4 linked regions of the Canis lupus familiaris genome follow. The protein of the gene in region 1 interacts with the protein of each later gene in a pairwise test. Links are inferred from orthologs where the notes say so. Each region holds a gene or a part of one and is shown in the gene's direction. Other genes may lie near its edges.

Region 1 (5,983 bases):
TACTTTAAAATAATGACACAATGCTGCATTTTAATTAGCTGAAACCTATGACAGACAACCAAGACACGGATTCTCATTCAGTTACTGTGGAAATTAGATTTTTTTTTTCAGAGATTTGTAACTTTCAATTTTCAAATATGTTTTTGATTCCTTGAACTCCCATCTATTGCAGAACAGCATTAATATACCATCAGTACTCCAAGAATGTGAAATGGGCAGAAGACATGAACAGGCATTTCTCTAAAGAAGACATACAAATGGCTAACAGACACATTAAAAAATCTTCAACATCCGGCAGCCGGATGGCTCAGCGGTTTAGCGCCACCTTCAGCCCAGGGCATGATCCTGGAGACCTGGGATCGAGTCCCACGTTGGGCTCCCTGCATGGAGCCTGCTTCTCCCTCTGCCTGTGTCTCTGACTCTCTCTCTCTCTCTCTCTCTCCTCTGTGTGTGTGTGTGTGTCTCATGAATAAATAAATAAAATCTTTAAAAAAATCTTCAACATCATGCATCATCAGGGAACTACAAATCAAAACCACAATGAGAAAATAAATTTATAAAAAAAAAACACAATGACATACCAACTCACACTGGTCAGAATGGCTAAAATTAACAACTTGGAAACAACAGATGTTGGTGAGGATGCAGAGAAAGGGAAACCCTCACACACTGTTGGTGGATATGCAAGCTGGTGCAGCCACTCTGGGAAACAGTATAGAAGTTCCTCAAAAAGTTAAAAATAGAACTGCCTTACCACCCAACAGTTGCATTACTAGATATTTACCCAGAGGATACAAAAATAGTGATTCGAAGGGGCACATGCACCCCAATGTTTATAGCAGCACAATCCACAATAGCTAAAACATAGAAAGAGCCCCAATGTCCAACAACTGATGAATGGATAAAGATGTGATATATATATATATATATATATATATAATATTCCATTACATATAATGAAATATTAATCAGCCATCAGAAAGAATGAAATCTTGCCATTTGCAACAATGGCATGGGTGGTGTTATGCTAAGCAAAATAAGTCAGTCAGAGAAAGACAAATACCATATGATTTCACTCATATGGAATTTAAGAGACAAAACAGATGAACATGGGGAAGGGAGAGGGAAAATAAAATAAGACAAAGACAGAGAGGGAGGCAAACCATAAGAGACTCTTAAACATAGGTAACAAACTGGGGGTTGCTGGAGGGGAAGTGGGTGGGGGGATGAGGTAACTGGGTGATGGGTATTAAGGAGGGCAAGTGATGGTATGAGCACTGGTTGTTGTATGCAACTGATGAATCACTAAATTCTAAATTCTACCCCTGAAACTAATACTACACTATATGTAAACTAACTTGAATTTAAATAAAATCTTGAAAGATAAAAAAAGAACATTTAGCATTAAGTGTTGAAATGTGAAGAGAATCACTAAAATCAAACCCAAGAGTCTACAACCATACCACCCTGAAAGTGTTCCAATCCTATCTGATCTTGGAAGCTAAGCAGGGTCAGGCCCGGTTAGTATTTAGATGGGAGAGTAATACATACTAAGGGACTATTTAAGTCCATCTATTTAAGACCTCTTGGTTTGTTTTTGGTTTTGGTTTTTCCATCATCAGCTACCTAGGAAGTAGTGTTCAGAGTTAGAAAAAAATTTTTAGTTTTTTCTGGATCATGAAAATTTTAACTTTGTCAGAATAGTGGGCCTTTTCCAGTAAAAATCTTAAAGATTCTAGAGGCAATCTGTTCTGCCCACCTTTGAAAATGAAATACATACCACAATTATGCCAAGGAAAGTGAAAGAGATTATGCTACATACATAATAGAGATGAAATTCAAAACAAAATCCAAAAAAGTTATGTCTCAAATCGCTATCCATTTGGTACTGCACCAGGGATTTCATCCAATGGAACTCCTGGTCTGGAACTCAAATTATAAAATTTTATTCCCCAACGCCAGTATTTCACATTTTTATGAAATTGTGACCTTAAAAAAATAAGTAAATAAGAGAAAACAGATTCTATCTCAGAAGAAAAGTCTTTTATAGCTTCCTTGCCCCTATTCTGAACTGTATCCAATGAGGGTTTAGTTTCCCAAGAAACTAAAAGATTGTAACTTAGAAATTGTATTTCACTCTTATTATTAATACAGGTGAAAATAGTATACATAATCTAAAAATGAGGCATAGGTAACATAGAGAAAGCAAGTTTCAGGAAATCAAAGATCACAACTCCAGATCTTGATAACCAGTTTGTATTTTGGCCTGCAGGCCACAGATTATGCCCATCAGTTATTTATAAAGTGACTTTTCAATTTGCACACAGGTAGATGTAGTTCATACACACACACACACACACACACATATGCATGTGCACACACACTTTAAACCCAGTACACACCTCACTCCTCTACCATGTGAGCACAACAAGACCATAAAAAGCATTGCAAAGATGGTTAACTACATGGAACATTTTATGATGGTACACAAACAAATAAATGGCATTTAATGAGATGTAATATGAATTTTAAAAGGATAGATAAACAATTTACAATACAGGAGCAAAATCTGTGATAATATCATTTTTGTTATTTGTAATCAGTTGTATCTGCAATTACTGAGTGCCAAATGTCCTCTGCCTTTCTGTATTCTACCAAAAAGATAATGCATCTCATGAAGATTCTCTGAACCAAGCGTCTTATCCTACTGGCAGATGGAAATATTGCCCTTACTTAGTAACCTGAAGCTATGCCTCTTTTATGAGGCATAAAACTTCCTCAGAAAACAAACAACACTAATGAATGTTCATATGAAAACTGGCACCAACAGTGATAAACAGAACATCCGGTATGTTCTGTAAATACCCATTTGCAGGCTGTATAAAAGTCTCAGGAGGGATGGAGACTCTGGGAACCAGTCAATTGGAGTTTTGCAACTAGTCTTGTTCTTCACTTCTAATAGGATGACTTCTGACTGTTTCCCCACGTGCTGCTCTTCTGAATCCTGTGCCCAGGCTTCCGACTGTGCACTTGCTTCAACCTGTTCCATGGAGGCCACCTGCCTCCCCAGTGCCCCTGCTACATCCAGATGCCAGACCCCTAGCTTCCTATCCAGGTCTCGCTTGCCAACTAGTTGCCTCACACCATGCTACTTTGCTGGGAATTATAATATTCCTTGCTTGGTGGGGAACTGTGCTTGGTGTGAGGATGGGGTGTTCAACAGCAATGAGAAGGAGACGATGCAGTTCCTGAATGACAGACTTGCCAACTATCTAGAGAAGGTCCGTGGCCTGGAAGAGATGAACGCAGAGCTCGAATGCAGGATTCGAGAACAATGTGAAGAGGATATCCCACTGGTGTGCCCTGATTATCAGTGTTACTTTGACACTATTGAAGAGCTTCAGCAAAAGGTCTGGTGTTTCATTGCCCTAATGCTTCACCCTCCCAATCTGTGATTTGCTTTATCTTTATACTAAAAAAAAGGCTGTTCTATGGAAGTTCCCCCCATCCCCAGGGAAAGGGGTTCTCCAGGAGGAAAAGGTGGTGGGCTGAAATTCAGCAAAAATTAGCATGAGCCGTGGGGCTGCCAGTAATCATTGAATGGCCAAAATAAACTCACTCACAACTACCTATGGAGAAAAATCCAAGTTCAACTGCCAAGGAATATTGCAAAATGTTTTAGGCCACTGAAAAACGGACCCTTTTTATTTCTATATTTATTTTATGAATGGTCCTGCTTTTTTCTTCATTGAAGTGACATGCTTAATAAGAAAAATAGGCTTCAAGCTATTTTATACTGTCTTATAAAGACTTTTAAAAGATAAATAATGGTATAGTTGTTAAATGAATAAATATTTAAGTTTCTTTCAAAGAGCCCTCTAGTATATATAACTAACTTACTTACCAGATCTTATGCACGAAGGCAGAAAATTCCAGACTTGCTGTGCAACTTGACAACTGCAAACTGGCTGCTGATGACTTTAGGTCAAAGTAAGTTAAATTTGAATTTGAAAATAATTCATGGCTGTCTCTCTCTCTCTCTCTCTCACACACACACACACACACACACACACACGTGCACACTACAAATATTCTCTACATAAGCTTTTTTTAAGCTAAGAATGCTCACAAAGCTCACATTAATTGGGATATAGCTTCCTTGAGTCGTTGTGTCATTCATCAGCATGCCCAGCATCTTGCACAGTGTCTAGCAAAATAAGCACCATCTGTATCTCTTTTGCTGTGAAAGGTATGAGTCTGAACTGTCTCTTCGCCAGCTGATAGAGACGGACATTGGTGGCCTGCGTGGGATCCTGGATGAGCTGACTCTGTGCAAAGCTGATCTGGAGGCCCATGTGGAGTCTCTGAAGGAAGATCTCCTTTGCCTTAAGAAAAACCACAAAGAGGTAAGGAAAGTGTAAAATTGCTGAATGAATGTGGAGGTGACAAAGTCAAACTGATAGATTTCGTTTTGTGTATATAAATCAAACTCGGGCAGATATTGCTAAAGCTGGAACAAAATTACTCGAGGCACTAATGTCCAGCCTGATGACTCTGGCATATCTCTGGGTGTATATGTGAAATGGGCCCTGGCTAGTACCACTTGAAAGACCAAATTGTTCACCTGCTATTGCTTTCGTGAAGGAGGTAACTTTACAAATGGCTTTCCTTGGAGGCTTTATGCCACATAACTCTAATCCATAAGCTACAAAAATCAGGCTGATAAACACAGGGCATGAAGGCCATTTCAGAAAGGGGATAACATCTTATGCAATATTTGGACCAATATTTTAAAATATTCTACATCTATAAACTTTCTAAATCATAAAATACGAAGTATATGACTATCTCATGTTGATAAAGCTAAAAAGTGAAAAACTTAATGATGTAAAATGGTATATTTTCCCTTTGAGCATGTGTTGATGATAATAGCATTTATTGAGACCTTCCTATGTGCCAAGGACTTTCATAAGTGCTTTATATGAACATCAACTCATATCTCTCACAATAACTCTCTAGGAAAGGTAAAATTATTATACACCTTTTGTGGATGCAGAGACTGAATGATGAAAAGAGAGTCAACCTAAGCAATCTGAATCTAAATCCCACACTTTTACTCACTTCTCCAGAAATTGGATGCTCTTGGGATGTCAAGGTGAATTCTTCTTCCCCACCACTCTGTGACTTTCTTTACTCCATTTCCTCTTTCAGGAGGTTGACTTGCTTCGTGGACAGTTGGGTGACCGACTCAGTGTAGAGCTGGACACTGCCCCCACCATCGACCTCAACAGGGTCCTGGAAGAGATGCGTTGTCAGTATGAAACCGTGCTGGCCAACAACCGTAGAGACGTGGAAGAATGGTTTGCTGTTCAGGTCAGTACCCAGAGCAAGAAAATGACAAGCTTCCAGACTTCTGCCTTATTTGCATCCTCTAATCATACCTGGTTTACAGACAGAGGAGCTGAATCAGCAGCAGCTGTGCAGCGCAGAGCAGCTGCAAGACTGCCAGACAGAGATCCTGGAACTGAAACGCACAGCCAATGCTCTGGAAATTGAGCTCCAAGCACAGCAAAGCCTGGTATGTAAGGGAAAGACAGCTCTGTTTTTGTCACTGAAGAATTAAGCCCTGAGATGCTAGTCCCTCTTCCATGAACCCAAGGAGAGATCCACAGTTCATGTGGCAGAAAGTCTGAATTTCCAATATGCAAGGATTGTATTCTTTGACTTACCCAAATACTGCTGTTTACTGAGCTAGAAGCAGAAGTGATAGGTCAACAGTCTGTACTGTCCCAACAGGATTCCCTGACCTTCCCTCCTGGGCTTGAGCATGATCCTGCAGCACCTTCCAGAGACAGAAAAAGAACAGGAGGGCAGGAGCAGAATGAGAGTGGAACCTCTGAGCTGAAGGCACTGAAGCATTCCAGTGGGTTTTAATTGTGCTTTGATTTGGGCCAACTTCTCAAACTCAGCATCATATAAAAGA
Region 2 (6,138 bases), on another chromosome or scaffold:
ATAGTCTGATTTACAATAGTGCTGAAATCATTAAGTTTCATGGTTAACTTGGTGAGACTACAGACCTAATTATTCAATCAAGCACCCATCTAAGTGTTGCTGTGGAAGCATTTTGTAGATGTAATTAACATCTACAATCAGTTGACTTCAAGTAAGCAAAGGAGACTATTCTTGATAGTCTGAGTAGGACCAATCCAATCAGTTGGAAGGCCTTAAAAATGAATCTTCCTTGAAACAGAAGAAATTCCAGCTGTGTGGACAGCAGCTTCAGCTCCTGCCTGAGAAGGTCTAGCCTGCGCATCCTGATAGCCTGCCATATGGATTTGGGATGTGCCTAACCAGCCTCACATTCACATAAGCCAGTTCCTAGCAATACATATCTTAATGTTTATATATTTCTCCTACTGGTTCTGTTTCTTTGGGGGAATCCTGGCTGATTCAACTGCTCACTACAAAAGATTCTACCTAATCTGTGCTGCTACAAAACCATAAAGGAAATAACTTTAGATAAAATGAAGTTAATATTTTGCCATAGCTGACAGGCAGCTATGACATTGCCTAATCTATTTATATTGACACTCTAGTGTAAGGCAGAAAGGGGAAATGGGGGTTACTTTTTTTTAAAGATTTTATTTATTTATTAATGAGAGACACAGAGAAAGAGAGGCAGAGACACAGGCAGAGGGAGAAGCAGGCTTCCTGTAGGGAGCCTGATGCAAGACTTCATCCCAGGACCCTGGGATCACAATCTGAGCCAAAGGTAGATGCTCAACTACTGAGCCACCCAGGTGCCCCAGTGAGAGTTACGAATAAAGAAAATCCAGGAAGACTTTAATTCAGTCTTATCAATGTGGGTCAAAGAGACGTTTTTTGTTTCGTGCTAGCATCTGTTTCCAAAGCAAAAATGAGATTTTTCCAAAAAGTGTCTTGATTAGCCTAACTCTAGGACTCTTTTCTGGGGGCAACTGCTGTTGGCTCTCAGAGCACCTTTACCTCCTAACATTGTTGGTGAATCCTGTGCTTGTGTACAGAGGAGAGTTTTCTAGGGTTTTATCATATCTTCTTTCCTTTTTAAATATTTTATTTATTTATTTATTCATGAGAGACACAGAGAGAGAGGCAGAGACGTAGGCGGTGGGAGAAGCAGGCTCCCTGCAGGGAGCCTGATGTAGGACTCGATCCCAGGACTCCAGGATCACACCCTGAGCCAAACAAACGTAGTCGCTCAAGCACTGAGCCACCCAAGTGCCCCTTTTATCATATTTTCAAATGGGTCTATGGCACCAATAGGATAAAAGACTCAAATGACGTCCTCTGTAGGTGTATATTTAACTGTTATGTGTCGCCTGTTGTATACATTATCTCCTCTAATCCTCACAATAATCATATGAAGTACATACTAGTATCCCATTTTACAGTTGAAAACTGAATCTTAGGGCAGCCGGGTGGCTCAGCGGTTTGGCGCCGCCTTTGGCCCAGGGCCTGATCCTGGGGACCCAGGATGGAGTCCTGCGTCAGGCTGCCTGCACGGAGCCTGCTTCTCCCTCTGCCTCTGTGTGTGTGTGTGTGTGTGTGTGTGTGTGTGTGTGTGTCTCATGAATAAATAAATAAAATCTTAAAAAAAAAAAAGAAAACTGAATCTTAGAAAAAAGTGACATAGTTTGTCCTACTGGCATAGGCAATATAAGCAATAGAGTTTGGATTTGCAGTCAAATGCTCTACCACTGAGCTCTACTCTCTAAAGTGTGGATTTGAATTCACATCACATACCAAAGTTCCTGCTGGGTAGCTGTGGGAGAGAATTCTGTTCAGTCACTAAGCTGTTATCCCGGAACTTCTGCATTTGTGGTGGTGGCCTGGGTGGCCAAGTACCTGCTTAGCTTCTGCCCACTTGCCTGGGGAGGAACAAGTTGGAGGTGCCCCCCAAGTTTTGCTGGGGGCCTTCTGGCCTGCTAGCCACTAGCTTTCTAACATGCCCCAGCCCAATGGGAGGGAGGAAGAGGAGGAGCAGGGCACCCTGGGGAGAGGAGGGCGGGTCCTGAGAGGGAGTTTGAAAAGAGGAAGGAAGTGGGGCTCTGCGGAGCGCCTAGCCACCCCCTGGCTGCTTCCCCACAGGAGGACGCAAGGAGCCCGCAGCTCCCCTGGCCCAGCCATGGCCCCCTGGCGCAAAACTGACAAGGAGCGACACGGCGTGGGTAGGTGTGGGCAAGGGGTCCCCAGCAGGGGGAAGGTCAGGTGGCCTGAGATCCATGCACAGGAAGATGCTGAAGGAGCCTGCAGGGCGGCCACAGGCGGGGTACACTGACCCAAGGTCCTAGGGCTCAGTGACTTCCTCTGCTAGCTGCAGGGCCAGCTGGGCAGGGAGGAGGAGGCAGCGGGAGAGGAAAGTGGGCACGCTGCCCAGTTGGCTTTGCCCAGCCCATGCCCTCTCCCACTGGGCACAGATTGCTGTCTATCCCCCAACACTTCTGCATCCCCTAGGTGGTGGTTAGCCCAGTTGGCTCTGTGTGCCACAGTCCCAGTGTTTCAAGGAGTGGACTTCATCCCTCCATGTAGAGAGTTGGCCTCATAGAAGGAACACCCGCCCTCTCTGGCCTGGCCCAGCATGCCTTCTTCCACTCCTGTCCAAAAAGACACCCATCTGCCTGCTTCCCCTGTCTGTTTCTTCTGGGTCAGATGACTGCTTATTTGGTAGAGGCTCCAGAGAGCTGTACAGGCTTGTGGCGTGGGGTTGGAGAGCAGAGTCCTTCACTCAGCCTTGGAGAACCTCTGGGAAGAAAGGCTCCTTCCAGGTTATCCGGGGACATCCAAGAAGCCGGCCTCATCAGCTTCACCCATCTAAGCTCCCAGAAGCCTCTGCCTCAAGCTCAGGGGCGGAAGTGGTGGCTGGGGGAAGGGAAACTTCAGGTACTGGGACTACTAAGTGGCACCCGTGGTGCAGCCTCTGAAAACTCACTGTGGTTTTCAAATTTAAGTGTAAATTTGAAAACCACTGTATGGTTTCCTACACAGGCAGATACCAGACACCAACCCCAGAGAGGAGCATTGAACAGGTCAGAGGTTGGAGTACCCAGGCCCGGAGGGAGATTAGATACAGGGAGTCCCGAGGCCACTCCCAGGGAGAAATGCTTCCCTGGAGAGTTCAACATTTATCTCTTCACTTGCTGGGCTCTAGGCACTATGGAGTGTTTTAAAATAACGGTCCCCATCCAGAGAACAAATAATAATCTATATCCTTGAAGAGCTTCAGTTTCTTCATCTATAAAATGGGAAGTTTGAACTAAAACCACTAAGGACCATGTCTAACTTCACAGCTTCTCTAAGTCCAGCCCTATCAGCTGGGGGCATCAGGCTGAAATTCTTCTCAAGGGAAAATGGGAACTATTAAGTGGGACAGACCACTGTAGGCAGAGAGGCCAATGCAGTATAGGAGATGAAAGTGGGACATGAAGGGCATATCCAGGAAAGAAGACAGATGCTCCTTTTGCCTGAAAAGAATGATCGTACTTAAAGTAAGCTGGAGCCACATTTTGGAAGGGTATAAATGCCAGGCTAAGAAATTGAGACTTTTCCCACTTAGGCAATGGGGAGCCAAAGAGGGCTTCTGAGCAGGGAAGAGGCATGGACAGATTTGTGCTGAAGCCGGTGTGGAGGGAGGCTGAGTGAACAGAATGGCAAAGGTGCCTGGGTGGCAGATAGGAGACCGTATCGGTCCACAGTAAGTAGAGCAGTAAATTGCGGGAGATTTGAGCAGTGTGGAAGAGCCCTATCCTTCGTCCCAAGGGCTGCAGTGCATTCCTGCTGTGAAGGCCCTGTGCTATGCTGTGAAGATCATGGGCTCTGGTGCTAGACTGCCTGTTGTTGAATTCCAGCTTCTAACACTTTCCAGCCCTGTGACCTACACAAGCTACTTACTCCCTCCAGGCCTTAGTTTCCTTGTCTCCTTGTCTATATAATGGGGATAATAATAGCCCATGCCTCCCGGGTTGTTGTAGAAGTAAAGGAGTTCATTCACATAAAGTGCTTAGAATGACCATTATACAAAGCAGTCCTCACTAGATGTTATCAATTATTATTCTCAGACTTTGTCTTTTGCATAGGAGTTTAGTAGAGGACATGATACCATAGGATGGGACAGAGTTACAGGTTGGAGTAGGGGTCCCACCCTCTCTTGCAGAGGAAATCCAACCTATATGGTCAGGGATTAGGAACTCTGTTAGGCATTAGGCCTGAGGGCTTCTTGACCTGATGGTATAGCTGACATTTTTCATGCCTACTTATGAAAATTCTATTTCATAGGGAGTCAGAAGATCTATGACCCTCTAGGGAGCCAGACAGCACTAAGATAGGTGCCTACTTATCAAAGGGTGTCTCTTTTCTCTGCAGATAAATGCAGGACTCTTTCTTAGGCCTTCAGTAGATGGAAAGAAGAGGGAGTGTAATTTATGGTGGAATGGCGGACTGGAGTCATGGGACAGAAAGAACAGGGACCTAACATTAAGGAGTCTCGGTTATAGTTCTGACACCATCACTAGTTGCAGACAGATCTATGACAGATCTAGTTTTCTCATTGTAAGTCTAGGTATTAATATTTTTATATTTCAAGGTGTTCTTTTACAAAGAACATTTGAGATCATGAGTATGGGGGCTTGGAATAAGACAAAGAGAAACATAGAAAAGTTTAGTGGTTTATCAGAATATCTCTAGAGTCCAGCCAGGCCTAAAACACAAGAACCTGAGCTTTGCTTTCTTATTTGGTTTCCTCATCAGTGTTGGTGGCATTAGCCCGTTTTCGTCTGGTATAATTCACAAGGACTGCTCACGTCTCTGTCTTTTTGTCTCAGGGGCTGGCTTTACACGAGACAATTTCATCACCAGAAGCACTGGCTTCTTGCTCATCTTGTTGTCTGGTTGGCAGCCCCAGGAGACCTTCATAGAGATGCCTTGTCTGATTATTTTTCTTTCCTTGATGGAATCTTAATATGTGATCCGTTAGAATCCCAGAGAGTTCCAGAAGTGGAACAAAACAGTATGAATATGAAGTAAGAAAAGGCACAGACTGCCTTTGAAGAGATGTGTGAGGTTAGAAGCTTGGGCTGTGAAGTTAGAACTGATTTTAAATCTGGGCCTGTTTCCTCATCAATAAAGTGAGGTCTCATGATAATGTGGGTCTCATGAGGCTGTTGTAAAGATTGAATGGGGTAATCCATGAAAAGTACTTAGTAATGTGGTTGACTCAATCAAAGTTAGTGACTAAGGTAAGGGAGTTAACCTAATAGTTGTGGAGCCAAGAGAAACACAGAGTAATGCATCCTAATACCAGATTGAGGATGGTGATGCCTTCCAAGAGTGTAGTATTTTGTGGTTTACAAGACCCATTCTCATGCAATATCTTTGGCTCCAGAACATCTCTGTGAGGCATTATTTTCATTTTACAGATGAAGAAACCAAGACCCAGAGTTCATATAATTTAGAAGTACTTGGGCTTGGCCTTAAATTCAGTTGATTTCAGATCCCAGGTCCTTTGCACCATACAAGGAAGAAATCCAGGAGCAGGAGCATCACAGAAAAAGGCAGGATATTGGATATGTAGCATTTGGGTCAAACAATAAATATTCTGCTTTGGTTTTAGTAGATGTTTATAATGAAAACAAAGCAAAACAAAACAAAACTTTTGAGAGGTAGACTGCAGCCAGATGGTGAAAGGGGCTTTGAATGCCAGCCCTATAAGTTTGGACTTCATTCTGTGCACAGTGGAATTTTTGAGCAGGCATGTCACCTTTAAGAATTTAATATAATGAATTGTGAGAAGGGCAGGGATTGGACATAGAGGTACAAAAACAGAAGTAGGTGACAATTTACCTGTCTCCTAACTGCAGGAGTAGTTAACCCTCCAAGAGTCCACTTACAATTTGGCCTTTACTATCTTAGTTTTCTCTGAGTCTCAGTGATGAGAGCTTCCACCTGGGAGCAGAAAAGGTAGAAGGAATAAGTAACAGCTATCAGTTAGGAATAAATGTGATGGGTGATAGAATACCTCCAGAAAAGTGGCTTAACCAAACTAGAACTTTATTTCTCCCTCAAATAGAAAGCCCAGAAATCCGTGGGTCCGTGAAGAGGTAGTGGAGCAATTCATTG
Region 3 (6,098 bases), on another chromosome or scaffold:
CTACAAATCTCTCTCTCTTTTTTATGATCAAGTCTTATGTACACCAGCACAGCTGGGAATCTGGGACAAAAAGTCATTCAACTCCAAAGGTCTTGATAAGATCTCCTCGAATGCATTTTTTCCCTTTCCTTTTTTTTTTTTTAAGATTTTATTTATTTATTCATAGAGACACACACAGAGAGAGAGAGAGAGAGAGAGAGAGAGAGAGAGAGAGGCAGAGACACAGGCAGAGGGAGAAGCAGGCTCCATGCAGGGAGCCCGACATGGGACTCGATTCCAGGTCTCCAGGATCACACCCTGGGCCGAAGGCGGCGCTAAACCGCTGAGCCACTGGGTCTGCCCCCTTTTCTGACTAAATCGCTCACCACTATCCTATATATCCCTCTATGAGATACTTAAAAAACATTAAAATCTTGATTTGGCAGAAAAGCCAAATATCAAGCTTTAGTCCTCTAGAATAATTGGTATTTACCATATGACCAACTGGCTCTTCCAGAAAGAGCTCAAGTACAGTATGTGCTGACACCTATCGGTAGACTAAAAAACATGTCCTCACTATAGGACTAGTTCACAAAACATACTCTCAAGAGTAGGTACTTCTTGAACAGAGAAATCTTAAAATTACATCTTGAGAAAGAAATTCCCTTCCCATTTTTACAACCTCTTTCCGAAGACAAGTTAGATCTCAGGTTCAAATCCTGAGTCTACTACTTCGTAGCTGTGTGACCTCAAACAAGATAATTAACCACTCTGAGCTTCAGTTGTCTCCTCTGGGGGAAAAAAAAAAGGCAGCAGCTATCTCAAGGCAGTTAGCAGGAAATGAACAGTGTTTGCAAGCCTCCATTAACTAATCTTAGGAAAATATAACCGCAACCTTAGGTGGCTTACAAATTACAAAACTTTAAGATAATTCTAAAGTCTGGATTAGGGCAGGACTCCCAAGCGTGTGGTAAGCACTCAAGAGTGTGTTAAAGTGGTAACTGCGGTAAGTGTAATGGTCTTAGAGTCGAGTCCTAGCAAGGTTAGAGAAATGCCTGAATTATGTAATCTTACTGTTTTTCCTGAACAAAAAATCCCAAAGAAGGGCACCTAGGGTGGATGATGCCTCCCATGTGACCTAGAGGTAGGTAAAAGGGGGGGAAAGTCCCCGCGGGACCGGGTGTTTACCTTCCTGACACCCAAGATACCTTGAGAAAATCCAGAGTAAAGTTCTAAGTCAGCCACCGTGAGACCAGGGCGAGAGGACAGTGGTCTGTGGGTAGTGCACCGAAATTCGACACCAAGGCACTGAGACAGGACTCTCCACTCCGCCTGAAATGTGACTCCAGGCGAGGCACTTACCCTCAGCGCTCCCAGGGAAGTGCGAGGCGGCCGGGCCCGCTAACCAAGGCAGCTTACGCCCGACCGCACCAGTAAGTTTCTCTGAAATCACCTGGTGAACAGCGCGTTAGACAAACATAAAACGGCCAACGCAGGAGTAGCTAGTCCGGGTTCTGCAAAGCGCTCGGCTCGAGAAGCCCGGCCCACAGAAGGGAAAGGGTGGGGAGCCCGGCGAGGGCAGCCGCAGGCCGGGTCGCCGCCCCGGAACGGCGCCGACGCCCGGGGAAGGGTGGGGAGCGGCGGGCGGCGAGGCGAGACTCCCGCAGGCCGCCCCGCCCTACTCACACCCGGAAAGAACCGAACCCAGGAGCCAGGCACCAGCGCCATGGCCGGCTGCCGCCGCTGCGCCTCACGGCCCCACGGCCCCACGGCCGCACGCTCTCTCCGACCCCCGCCCACCAGGCCACCCAGCACCGCCCACACCCACTCAACGGACCCGCGGCAGCCCCGGCCTTAAAGCCGGCGCCGCCTGACGACAGGCTGACGTCATACGTGACGCCGTGGCGGGCGGGAGCGGAGACGGCACGGGAGGGCGTTTCCGGAGCACGCGCCCGGCGAGGGCCGCTGACGTCGGGCTCAGGTGCGCGCGCTTGCCCGCCCGCCCGAGCGCGGCCCAGGTGGCGGCCCGCAGCGCCAGGTGGCGGCCTGCAGAGGTGAGGGGCGACCCGCGGGGCGGGCGCGGGCGCGGGCGCGGGCGCGGCCGGGGGCGGCGGCGGGAGGGCGTGTCGCCTTGCACTCACGTGACGGGCGGGAAGGTTGGGGTGTGGGCGGTGAGGCGAGCGGGGTGGGCCCGACCCCACCCCCGAGGGCCTGCCCGCCGCTGCGGAGGACCTTCCCTCGGGCTGGGGCCGGACCCGCCCCGCCCCGCCACCTACCCCGCCGCCTGGTTGTCCGCGGCGGCCCGCGCGACCGCCGGAGCTGACCGCGGTTGTCTCCTCCGCAGGGCCGCGGCGAGAGGGTGAGAGTCCGCGCGTTCCGAGGGAGCCGTCCCCGCCTTGGCCCGCGCCCCGCGGGGCCCCGCCGCACCCGAGGGGATGGAGAGCGGTCCCCGAGGCCCCAGCGCTGCCCGCGATCCCACGCTGGCCGGCTCTCGCTAGCTGCTCGAATTGTGCGTTTTCCCACAACCTAGGCCTTGTCTCCTGAGTCAGTGGCGTTGCGATTCGAAAGAAATGGAAGAAAAGGAGCGATGTGAACAATTCTGCTCGGTCCTCCTGCATTGAGGCCTGGTTGGCATTTGCAGAGAGGAAGATACGGGAAGAAAATCGTGGGGTTTTTTTTTTGGCGGGGAGAGTGGGAGAAAGGAAACAAGGTTTTAGATTTTCTATGATTTTTTTTAAAATTCTGCACTTTGACAGTGGTGGCGAAATACACTAATCCAAAAGTGATCTTTCTATTGATGGAGGTGGATTTTTTTTTCCCTTTTGATTCCAACCTTTCTCCCCGTGACAAAGCATAAATCATGGACACCAAAAAATAAGGTGGACCTCAGGAATCCCGAAAGGACTGAGCAGCTTACATTCTTCCTCTGGAGGGAAGGGTGGTGTGTTTTTAGCCATCTCTGGAACCTAAAACGAAAACATGAGTTGCGTGCCATGGAAAGGAGACAAGGCCAAATCTGAATCTTTGGAGCTGCCCCAGGCAGCACCCCCACAAATCTACCATGAGAAACAGCGCAGGGAGCTTTGTGCCCTGCATGCCCTCAATAACGTCTTCCAGGACAGCAATGCCTTCACCCGGGAAACGCTGCAAGAGATTTTCCAGAGGTAGGGGACCCCTTATCCTTGGCATTTTTACACTTTTTGCTATTTCTGAATTCCGGGGGGAGGGGCAATGTCTCCGCTATATAAACCTTTAAACCAACAGGTATTATTAGGTAACTGTTGTTAGCAGGTACAGGGGATACAGAGATGAGAAAAATAATAATCAGTATCGTTGACTGAGCACTTACTATAGGCAAGGCACAGTGCTAAAAACCCTCAGTCGTGTCATCTGGTGTGATCCCCCAACAGTCCCATGGAATATGTGTTGCTTCTTTTCCATTTTATGGACATAGACTTCAGAGAAGCTCAGCAACTTGCTGGAGGCGACATAACAAGAGATAGAGCCAAGTTTTATTTCAGACTTGTATCTGTGCTGTTGACCAGGATGCTGTAATGCCTCTCAAGTCCTACCCCCAAGAGGTTATAGTCTAGAAGGGGAACAAGATCTGTGTACACTGGGTCATCTGTCGTCAGAGGTGGTTTGTTGCAGGTTTTATAAGGAAGGTGTTCCGCTATACATAGTGCTCAGCTTTTCCATAAGGCCATACTCTGGCCTTGGTGCATTTTATACATTATGCTTTGCTTTGTATAGCTTTTTCCAGCAGTTATTTTACCATCTCTATTTTACGGATGGAGCAACAGGCAGAAAAGCCAGATAGTTTGCCCAAATAGCTTTCAAGTAGCCAAGCTATGACTTGAAGCTGACTCTAGACCTCTTTCCCTTTCTACTTCATTCTGGATGGCTTTTTTTTTTTTTTTTTTTTTAAACCAACACTTTACTAAATGCTGCCTGACAGGTTAACAGAAGTTCAGTTTTTTCTCTCTCTACTTTGATGTTCTAAAATTCTTTTATCACAGGGTTTAAGAATTAGTTCTTTGGTGTCTGGATGGACATAGCAGCATGAGTGCTACTTCCTGAGTATCAGAAAGGCATGTCAGAGCAATTCTATCATCAGTACCCATTCAGCCTGCTAGTGAGTTGGGCCTGGATCTAAAGATACAGACTGTGGTTATAAGCTGTTTGTGGATAATTGCAAGATTCTTTCAGTTGTGTTTTTCCTGAATGAAAGAATGCTAAATATTTGCTAAACTCTCACATGGAACCAAAGTTCTATTCCTGGCTACTAAAGCTCTAGCAAATTTGTACTACGCTCTCCAGTTTCCTGTCAGCGCAAGGTAAAGGTTCATCTCAAAGTAATAGCAAACCAGTGCATAAGAAAATATCCTCTATTCTCACTCCAGAGGCTGAATTCTATGTATTTTGTATGGAAAGATTCAGCGTGGATAAATGGAAACAAAGAAGTATGAAAGGGATCAGAGGAAAGAGGAAAGGGAGAAGAGGTGAGGAAGAGAAGATGGAATTTTATAAACAAACATTTGCTAGCAGCCTGCTGTGTGCCAAGCCCTGCTAGGCACTGTAGAGAAAACAAGTTGAACAGGACTCAGCCGCTAAGTACATCCCAGAGCTCTACATTGACCAGACCTTGAGAATAAACTTAAGTGAAGTTAGAACCTTAGAATTTAGAGCTGTTTGAAAGGGAAAAGATGATCTCTTTGGATCATAATGGGAAGAATAGTAATGATGGCAGGTTAAACTAGATAATTTTAAATTCTCAGATACAAAGTTTTATGCTTTTTTGAAGATGAGGCTGATGAATGGTAGAAATGGGAGAAAAATTTTGATGAATGCTGTTTGTTGAAAGGAAGCTCATCCTAGCAGTCGAATTTTAGCCAGATTAAAAAGGAGAAATACAAAAGCAGGGTGGAGTTTTCAGTACAGTTGTGGATATGAGATGACTCATGTTTGGAATAGAAATGAGTAGGGATTTAGAAAAAACTAAAACCAATGGCCGGCAGCATGGGGACGGGGAAGAGAGGAATCAAGGTGGCAGAGTCTCAGTCCAAGAGTTGAACATAGTGATAACAACCATAGTGATGGCAGAAGAGGTCACTGGTTTGGAAAGGATCAGTTTTCAACATGTGAAATTGGAGAAAAGCTCAGAATCTGGGCAGGTGTCTTCGTGCACATTATACAGACTCGGATGTCTGATCTCGTACATCTCATCATATAGGAGTCAAATGATGTAGTAGTAGTTTTGCTGAGTTGTTTGGAAAATCCTCAGGCCTCAATCTATTTTCATAGACTCAACTCAATTGTTCAGTGATTAGATGTTCTTGCAGCAAGTATGCATCCCTCTTCCTCCAAAAAATAGCTGTTAAAATCTAAATAGATGAAAAGTAGGTTGGTCCCACTTGAAAAATCTAATGCAAGCTGGAAGAGACAAAGAGATTTTAGATTTTGGTGAACAACCAGCATTCTCTACCACAAAGAAGTCCAGCCTTCCCATTAAAAAGTCCCTGAGCAAGTGGAAGGTGGTGGTAAATTGCTCAAAGAGATGGAGTACTAACCTCTAGAGATTTAAATCATTTTGTCAAGGGCCAGGCAAACACAGCATCATCATTGCCAACACCTACAGAGTACATTGATGTGCCTGACTCTATGATCTGTGCTTTATATATATATATAATATATATGTATAATATATATATTAAATATGTATATTATATATATATTTATTTAAAGGTTTTATGTATTTATTCATGAGAGACAGAGAGAGGCAGAGACACAGGCAGAGAGAGAAGCAGGCTCCGTGCAGGGAGCCCGATGTGGGACTCGATCCTGGGACTCCAGGATCACGCCCTGGGCCAAAGGCAGGCGCTCAACCACTGAGCCACCCAGGCATCCCTGTGCTTTATATATTTAATAATATAATGACACATCATGAAGTTCTGAGACATATTTTTAATGTCATATTTCTTAAGAGCTGATAAAAAGGAAAATAATAATTATGAGAGAAAAGGAACCTTGATGAATGTCCACATCTTCTTTTTGTTAAAATCTGAAATCATCACCTTAGCTAGACCCAGGAATAACCATGAGGGAGGACCAGGAACTCC
Region 4 (6,011 bases), on another chromosome or scaffold:
CCATTTTTCCCCTTTGGAATGGGAATGTCTGTAAGTCTTATCCTATATCTGTCCCATCGCTGTATTTTGGGAAAAGATAATTTGTTTCCTAGTTTCACAGGTTGGGAGATGGAAAGGAATTTTGCCTCAGGTTGGATCATACTCAGAGTATCATTTATACCTGACTTAGATGATGAGATTTGGAACCTTTGAGCTGATGACACCAAAGTGAGATTTTGAAGTTGAGTTGATACTGTAATGGATGAAACTATTAGGGGTATTGGGATAAGGTACATGTATTTTGCATGTGGGATAGATGTGTATCTTTGAGGGTATACTGTTGTAGGGTGAATGATGCCCCCAAAAGATATGCACATCCTAATTCCTTGAACATGTGAGAGTACCTTAGATGGCAAAAAAGAAAAGAAAAAGAAAAAGGAAAAGGACTTTGCAGTTTGCAGATGTAATTAAGGTAAAGATTTTGAGATGGGAGATTATCCTACATTATCAAGGAGACCCTAATTGTACTAACAAGTGTCCTTAGAAGAGGAAAGCAGAGGCAGACTTCACAGACAGAATGCATGGCAATGCAACCAAAGAAACAGATTGTAGTGATGTGGCTACAAGCCATGGAATGCAGACAGTCACCAGAGTAGGGAGAGGTGACAGACAAATAGATTCTCCCCTAGAGCCTCTGGAGGGAGTATGGCCCTGCTGGCACCTTGATTTTAGTCTTCTGGCCCCCAGAGAGTGTGAGAGAACACATTTCTTAGATAGTTAGCCACCAAGTTTGTGAAAATTCATCACAGCAGCCACAGGAAGCTAACGTAGATGGCTTGGGATAGATTTGGTGGTTGTTGGAGGGATGATTGCTTGGGGGTTATCAAAGAGAGTGTGAGGGTATAATTAGGAGCCATTGGAAAGTGTTTGGGTACTGTTGGAACAATCAAAGGAAAGACCAAGGGGTTTGGTGGGTCACTGGAAGGTGGTTTGGAGGTGTCGTTGGGAGACTGGGAAGATAAAGGGGGAATGTCTACAGATAACATGGGGACTATTAAGACAGTTTAGGGTGTAGTTGGGAGTTTTTGGAGGGTGGTCTGGGAGGTATGGAAAAAATGGAAGATGTTTTGTGGGTATAGTTGCATGTAATTTAAGACAAAGTTCAGGGGGTGATCCTGGGGTCCTGGGATCAAGTCCCTCATTGGGCTCCCTGTGAGGAGCCTGCTTCTCCCTCTGCCTCTGTCTGTGCCTCTCTCTGTGTGTCTCTCATGAACAAATAAATAAAAATCTTAAAAAAAAAGACAAGGTTGGGTATAGTGGTCATTGAAGAGTGGTTTGGAGGTATAGTTTTGGGCTGCAGAGTATGGTTAGGAGGGGACATGGAGACTGATTCGGGGTCCATGGGGTTGTTTTCGGTGTGTACTGGGGATAGATGGAAGAGTGATTTGGAAGTGCTCTTTGGAGGTTGATGGTTTCAGGGCTGATTGCAGACAGTTTAGGGGAACGAGTTGGGGGTAGTGAAGGGTAGTTTATTCTCACAGTTTGGGAGTCCACGGAGGGTGGATTGGGGGCATTGCTTGGGATCAATAAACAATAGTTTGGGGATACAGTTGGGGGAATGATGGAGGGTGGTTTGGGGGACACAGAAGTTTAGAGGAGAGTTTAGAGACGTGGTGGTGGCCCAAAAAGGCAGTTTCGGGTACTGCTTGGGGGTTTGCGGGTGGGGGGGGTGGGAGGACGACTCCGGGTGAGGGGCAGCCGGCGGATCACTGGGGGGGCGTGGCCTCGGCGGGGGAGCGCTCCACCGCCCTCGAGGAAGCGTGTGCGCACGCGCTCCCAGCTGGTTCGCTCCTGGCGCTCCGAGGGCAGGAAAATCGAAGACCCAAACTGGCGCCTGCGCACTAGGTCTCCGCCGCTGCTGTGGTCTCGCGCCCCGCCCCCCGTCCCCCCACCTCTCCCCAGGCTCGCGCTCAGCCACGGCTGTGTCGGTGCAGCTGGGAGCAGACGCACCCGAGGTGAGGGTGGGGGGGGTCCGGGGTCCACCGACCGCGGCCGAGCCGGCGCGCCTCTCCCACCCTCCCCGCACCTCCAGTCTGGCCCCCACGGCTGACATTTGCGCGGCCAAAAGCGGCCCACGGGCAGGGCGCGGAAAGGGAGTAGGCGCGAGGCCGGGGACGAGCGGGCGGCGGCGAGGGAGGGGCGCAACCCAGCCCCCTTCCTGGCCCACAGCGACCCCGCCTACGTCGCGGGACGAGGACCCTCGGTGAGTAACGCCCGCCTGGAGAAGAAGGGAGGAGACAGGGCGGGGTGAGGGCCCGGAAACGCCAACAGAGAATGTACCTGCGCGCGCACCCGCGACCTCTGACCCTGTGGTCGCACTCCCGACCCCTACCTGACCTGACTACACCGTTTTTAACCCCGAGCTCTGGCCAGTCTTGGCCCCAGGACCTCCGATCTGACCCCCCACCTAACCATATTTTGGCCTGGCGTGATCCGCAATCCCTGTTTTGTTCCCCCAAACCCAGTCCTGACCCCAAACTCCACCCGGTTCTGTTCTCAGGATCCTTGGCCTGACCCTGTTCCATCTCTGAAGCCTATCTTGCCTTGTCCCGACCATCCCAGTTTCTGGCCTGTGCCCCAAACTCTTGTCCAGCCCCTGAACCCCTTCCAGTCATGTCCTGTCCCCCTAACCGCAGTCTGATCCAGGTCTGTCTGGATTCCTGACCTCTGATTTCTAAACTTTCTCCCTCCCCCCAGTACTATCCTCCTGGTCCCCTCCTGACTCCCCATCTCCAACCTGGCCCACCCCCTTTAGACCATCCCTCTGTTTCCTGCCCTGTCTCTGCCCCCAGCCCCGTGCTGTTTTCCCCTGACTTCTCTTGTCCCATCACTGTCCTCATTCCTATCCTTATTCTGTTCCAGTCTTTTCCTGTTCCTTACTTCCATCCTGAACCTGCCCTTTTCCCTATCCCCTTCCTTGAGCACTGTCTTGGCCAGTCATCATCATTTCTGAGAGCTATCCTATACTAACCCTGCCCTGCTCTTTTGTTCTTTGCTGCCCCCTACTTTTTCTCTGACCCTTGTCCTGAACCTCACTCCATCTCACCCCCTGGCCAGTGTCTTGGCTCCTTCTCTGTCCTGCCTCCTGACCTCCATCCTACAATGACTCCGATTCTCTCTTGCCCTCTGTGCTCCTTCCTGTTCTCTTTCTTCATCCTCTCCCAACCTGAAGCCCCCATCCTATCCCTTACCATGCCCCTCCACTCCAGTCAGATCTCCCTCTTCCTAACACCCATTTTCCATCTCATCTGAGCCCAGAAGAACTGAGTCCTGTTATACCCTGCCCCTGAACTCAGAGGTTCCAATGTTCCCATTATCTCGGGTTCATCCCAAATGCCTCTCAGCATGAACAAGAGCAAGAAGCCTTGTGGGCCCTGTGTGGCTTAAGGAGGTTTTCGTTTGTGATGTCCTTCACCCCCACCCAGTGATCTCACGCAGAGCTTGCATTTGTCTGCCTGCCCCAGGGGGGCATGGAACTGTTCCTACACCCCCCACCCTCCCCAAGTGTGAAAGAACACCCTAAATTATTCAGTGACTCTCTGGGAGTCTGAGATCTGGATCATGTTTCCAGCCTGGCTAGGTTGGGGGCTGCCCCATGTCAAGGTGGGGGGTGTGGTGAGCAAACATGCAGGAGTGGGGAACACAGGGGTATGTGGGAACCTTCCATGTCATGTTACCCCTATCTCCTAGTCCTGAACCTAGGTGTACATGATCTCTGCTTTCCTGGCCTGAAAAAGTCCATTCCAAGCCAGAGGCTTGGTAGGGGTGAGATGGGGATGGGGCGTTCTATCCCCCTTCTCTCAATTGTAAGCAATACAAATGGCAGTGCTAAGTCCATCCCACCTCTGTGGGGCAGGTGTGTGTGTGTGTGTGTGTGTTTGTGTCACTGAGTGTTAGATTCAGTCCTATCCAGTAGTGACAATAACAATAAAAGCAATACAAGATTCTCGATTCTCTCACTGAATCTTCTTGATTCTGAGGACAGGCAAGGAGAATTTGGATAGTGAGAAGGTAACATGTTATTCAGTTCTGTTTTGTTCCTGCATTTGTCATAGAGAGTAGTGAGAACTTGAATAACAAGATATTTGACCCATGTCATTTATCTAAAACATTTATCCAAACCTATTTTTTAAAAGATTTTATTCATGAGAGACACAGAAGCAGAGACATAGGCAGAGGGAGGAGCAGGTTCCCTGGAGGGGAGCCTGATGCGGGACTTGATCCCAGGACCCCGGGATCACAACCTGAACTGAAGGCAGATGCTCAACCACTGAGCCATTCAGGTGTCCCAAACCTAATTTTTTTTTAAGTAGGCTCCACACCCAGCATGGAGCCCAACATGGGGCTTGAACTCACAATCCTGAGAGATCAAGACCTGAGTTAAGATCAAGAGTCAGGGATCCCTGGGTGGTGCAGCGGTTTAGCGCCTGCCTTTGGCCCAGGGCGCGATCCTGGAGACCCGGCATCGAATCCCACGTCGGGCTCCCGGTGCATGGAGCCTGCTTCTCCCTCTGCCTATGTCTCTGCCTCTCTCTCTCTCTCTCTCTGTGACTATCATAAATAAATAAAAATTTAAAAAAACATTTAAAAATAAATAAAGGAGGGTCTGAGGGTCAGGGATGGGCTGAATTAAAAAAGATCAAGAGTCAGATGCTTAACTGTCTGAGCCACCCAGGTGCCTCTACCCGAACCTATTAATAACAACACAAGTGTCCTTCATTGTTCTGATGTTTGTTTGGCACCTGACTTCTGAGAGGGAGAGCTTGGATAATTCCAACAGTGAAAGATACCAAGTTACCTGGAGGTTTTTTGCTTTTGCATTTTACATAGTGAGTGGGGAGGGTTCAGATAATGAGGGATAACGACTCCAACTAAAAAATATATTCAAATTGATTCATCTCCCTGAGCTCCAGTGGCAAGAGTTGGGATAGTAAGAGTACTGTGTTGTGTGAATATATTTGGCTCCTGCATTTTGTCCGGTGAGGGAAAGCTCAGAGAGTGGGGGATAGCGGTTCTACCTCAGGTGTATCCAAATCCTTTCAGTTCCTGTATATGGATAGTAAGCATTTGGAGAATTTACCTGAATATGTTTGGTTCCTGAATTTTTTTAATGTTTTTTTAAAATTATTTATGATAGTCACACACACAGAGAAAGATAGAGAGAGGCAGAGACACAGGCAGAGGGAGAAGCAGGCTCCATGCACCGGGAGCCCGACGTGGGATTCGATCCCGGGTCTCCAGGATCGCACCCTGGGCCAAAGGCAGGCGCCAAACTGCTGCGCCACCCAGGGATCCCGGTTCCTGAATTTTTTTTAAAATTTTTTTTCATTTATTTATGATAGTCACACACAGAGAGAGAGGCAGAGACATAGGCAGAGGGAGAAGCAGGCTCCATGCACCGGGAGCCTGACGTGGGATTCGATCCCCGGTCTCCAGGATCGCGCCCTGGGCCAAAGGCAGGCGCTAAACCACTGCGCCACCCAGGGATCCCTGGTTCCTGAATTTTTGATGTTGAGTAGCAAGAGGTCTGATAATGATAGAAATCAGCTCTGTTTCAAATATGTCTGTTTTAATCATTGGGGAAGGTTCGGTATCTAGATAGCAAGTAGGGAGGGTTTGGAGGCTGAAGCATACCAGCTTGGTCTTAGCAGTACATCTGAATACATTGAGTTCTTTTCTTTGGATAGTGAGAGATTGGAAAAATTTATTTCAGAGAAAAACAACTCTGTTGCAAATTTATCAGGTGAAGCTGAGGGATACCAGCTCTTCAGCTCTGTCTCAAAAAAGAAAAAATATACACACACATTCCTGAGTTTGAATTGGGAGGGATAGTATAATTATGACAGCCAATACATATTGACCACTAACCAAAGGCGAATTATTGTCCTAAGCAAGATTTCAGTGCATTAATTCATGTCATGCTCACAACAGTCCTGTGAAGTACATGTTGTCACCCCCATTTTACAGATGAA

What was found.
Region 2: the proteins of KRT40 (region 1) and DOCK2 interact in binary tests that used the Homo sapiens proteins (3 or more experiments, as listed by UniProt). The two-hybrid records come from large-scale screens. The link is inferred for Canis lupus familiaris from reciprocal best matches to the Homo sapiens genes KRT40 and DOCK2.
Region 3: the proteins of KRT40 (region 1) and JOSD1 interact in binary tests that used the Homo sapiens proteins (3 or more experiments, as listed by UniProt). The two-hybrid records come from large-scale screens. The link is inferred for Canis lupus familiaris from reciprocal best matches to the Homo sapiens genes KRT40 and JOSD1.
Region 4: the proteins of KRT40 (region 1) and CCDC120 interact in binary tests that used the Homo sapiens proteins (3 or more experiments, as listed by UniProt). The link is inferred for Canis lupus familiaris from reciprocal best matches to the Homo sapiens genes KRT40 and CCDC120.

What each region holds. Positions count from the first base shown.
Region 1 is NC_049230.1:21,657,659-21,663,641, forward strand, and holds the start of KRT40 (keratin, type I cytoskeletal 40), read left to right. Parts: upstream 1-2,172; 5' UTR 2,173-2,963; coding exon 2,964-3,410; intron 3,411-3,904; exon of another isoform or gene 3,905-3,907; coding exon 3,908-3,990; exon of another isoform or gene 3,991-4,249; coding exon 4,250-4,406; intron 4,407-5,121; exon of another isoform or gene 5,122-5,211; coding exon 5,212-5,373; intron 5,374-5,441; exon of another isoform or gene 5,442-5,452; coding exon 5,453-5,578; intron 5,579-5,729; exon of another isoform or gene 5,730-5,842; intron 5,843-5,983. UniProt on the Homo sapiens protein: May play a role in late hair differentiation.
Region 2 is NC_049225.1:43,064,881-43,071,018, reverse strand, and holds the start of DOCK2 (dedicator of cytokinesis protein 2), read left to right. Parts: upstream 1-2,054; 5' UTR 2,055-2,152; coding exon 2,153-2,195; intron 2,196-6,138. UniProt on the Homo sapiens protein: Involved in cytoskeletal rearrangements required for lymphocyte migration in response of chemokines. Activates RAC1 and RAC2, but not CDC42, by functioning as a guanine nucleotide exchange factor (GEF), which exchanges bound GDP for free GTP.
Region 3 is NC_049231.1:27,102,524-27,108,621, forward strand, and holds the start of JOSD1 (josephin-1), read left to right. Parts: upstream 1-2,014; 5' UTR 2,015-2,033; intron 2,034-2,323; 5' UTR 2,324-2,958; coding exon 2,959-3,143; intron 3,144-6,098.
Region 4 is NC_049260.1:42,404,890-42,410,900, forward strand, and holds the start of CCDC120 (coiled-coil domain-containing protein 120), read left to right. Parts: upstream 1-1,927; 5' UTR 1,928-2,242; intron 2,243-6,011. UniProt on the Homo sapiens protein: Centriolar protein required for centriole subdistal appendage assembly and microtubule anchoring in interphase cells. Together with CCDC68, cooperate with subdistal appendage components ODF2, NIN and CEP170 for hierarchical subdistal appendage assembly.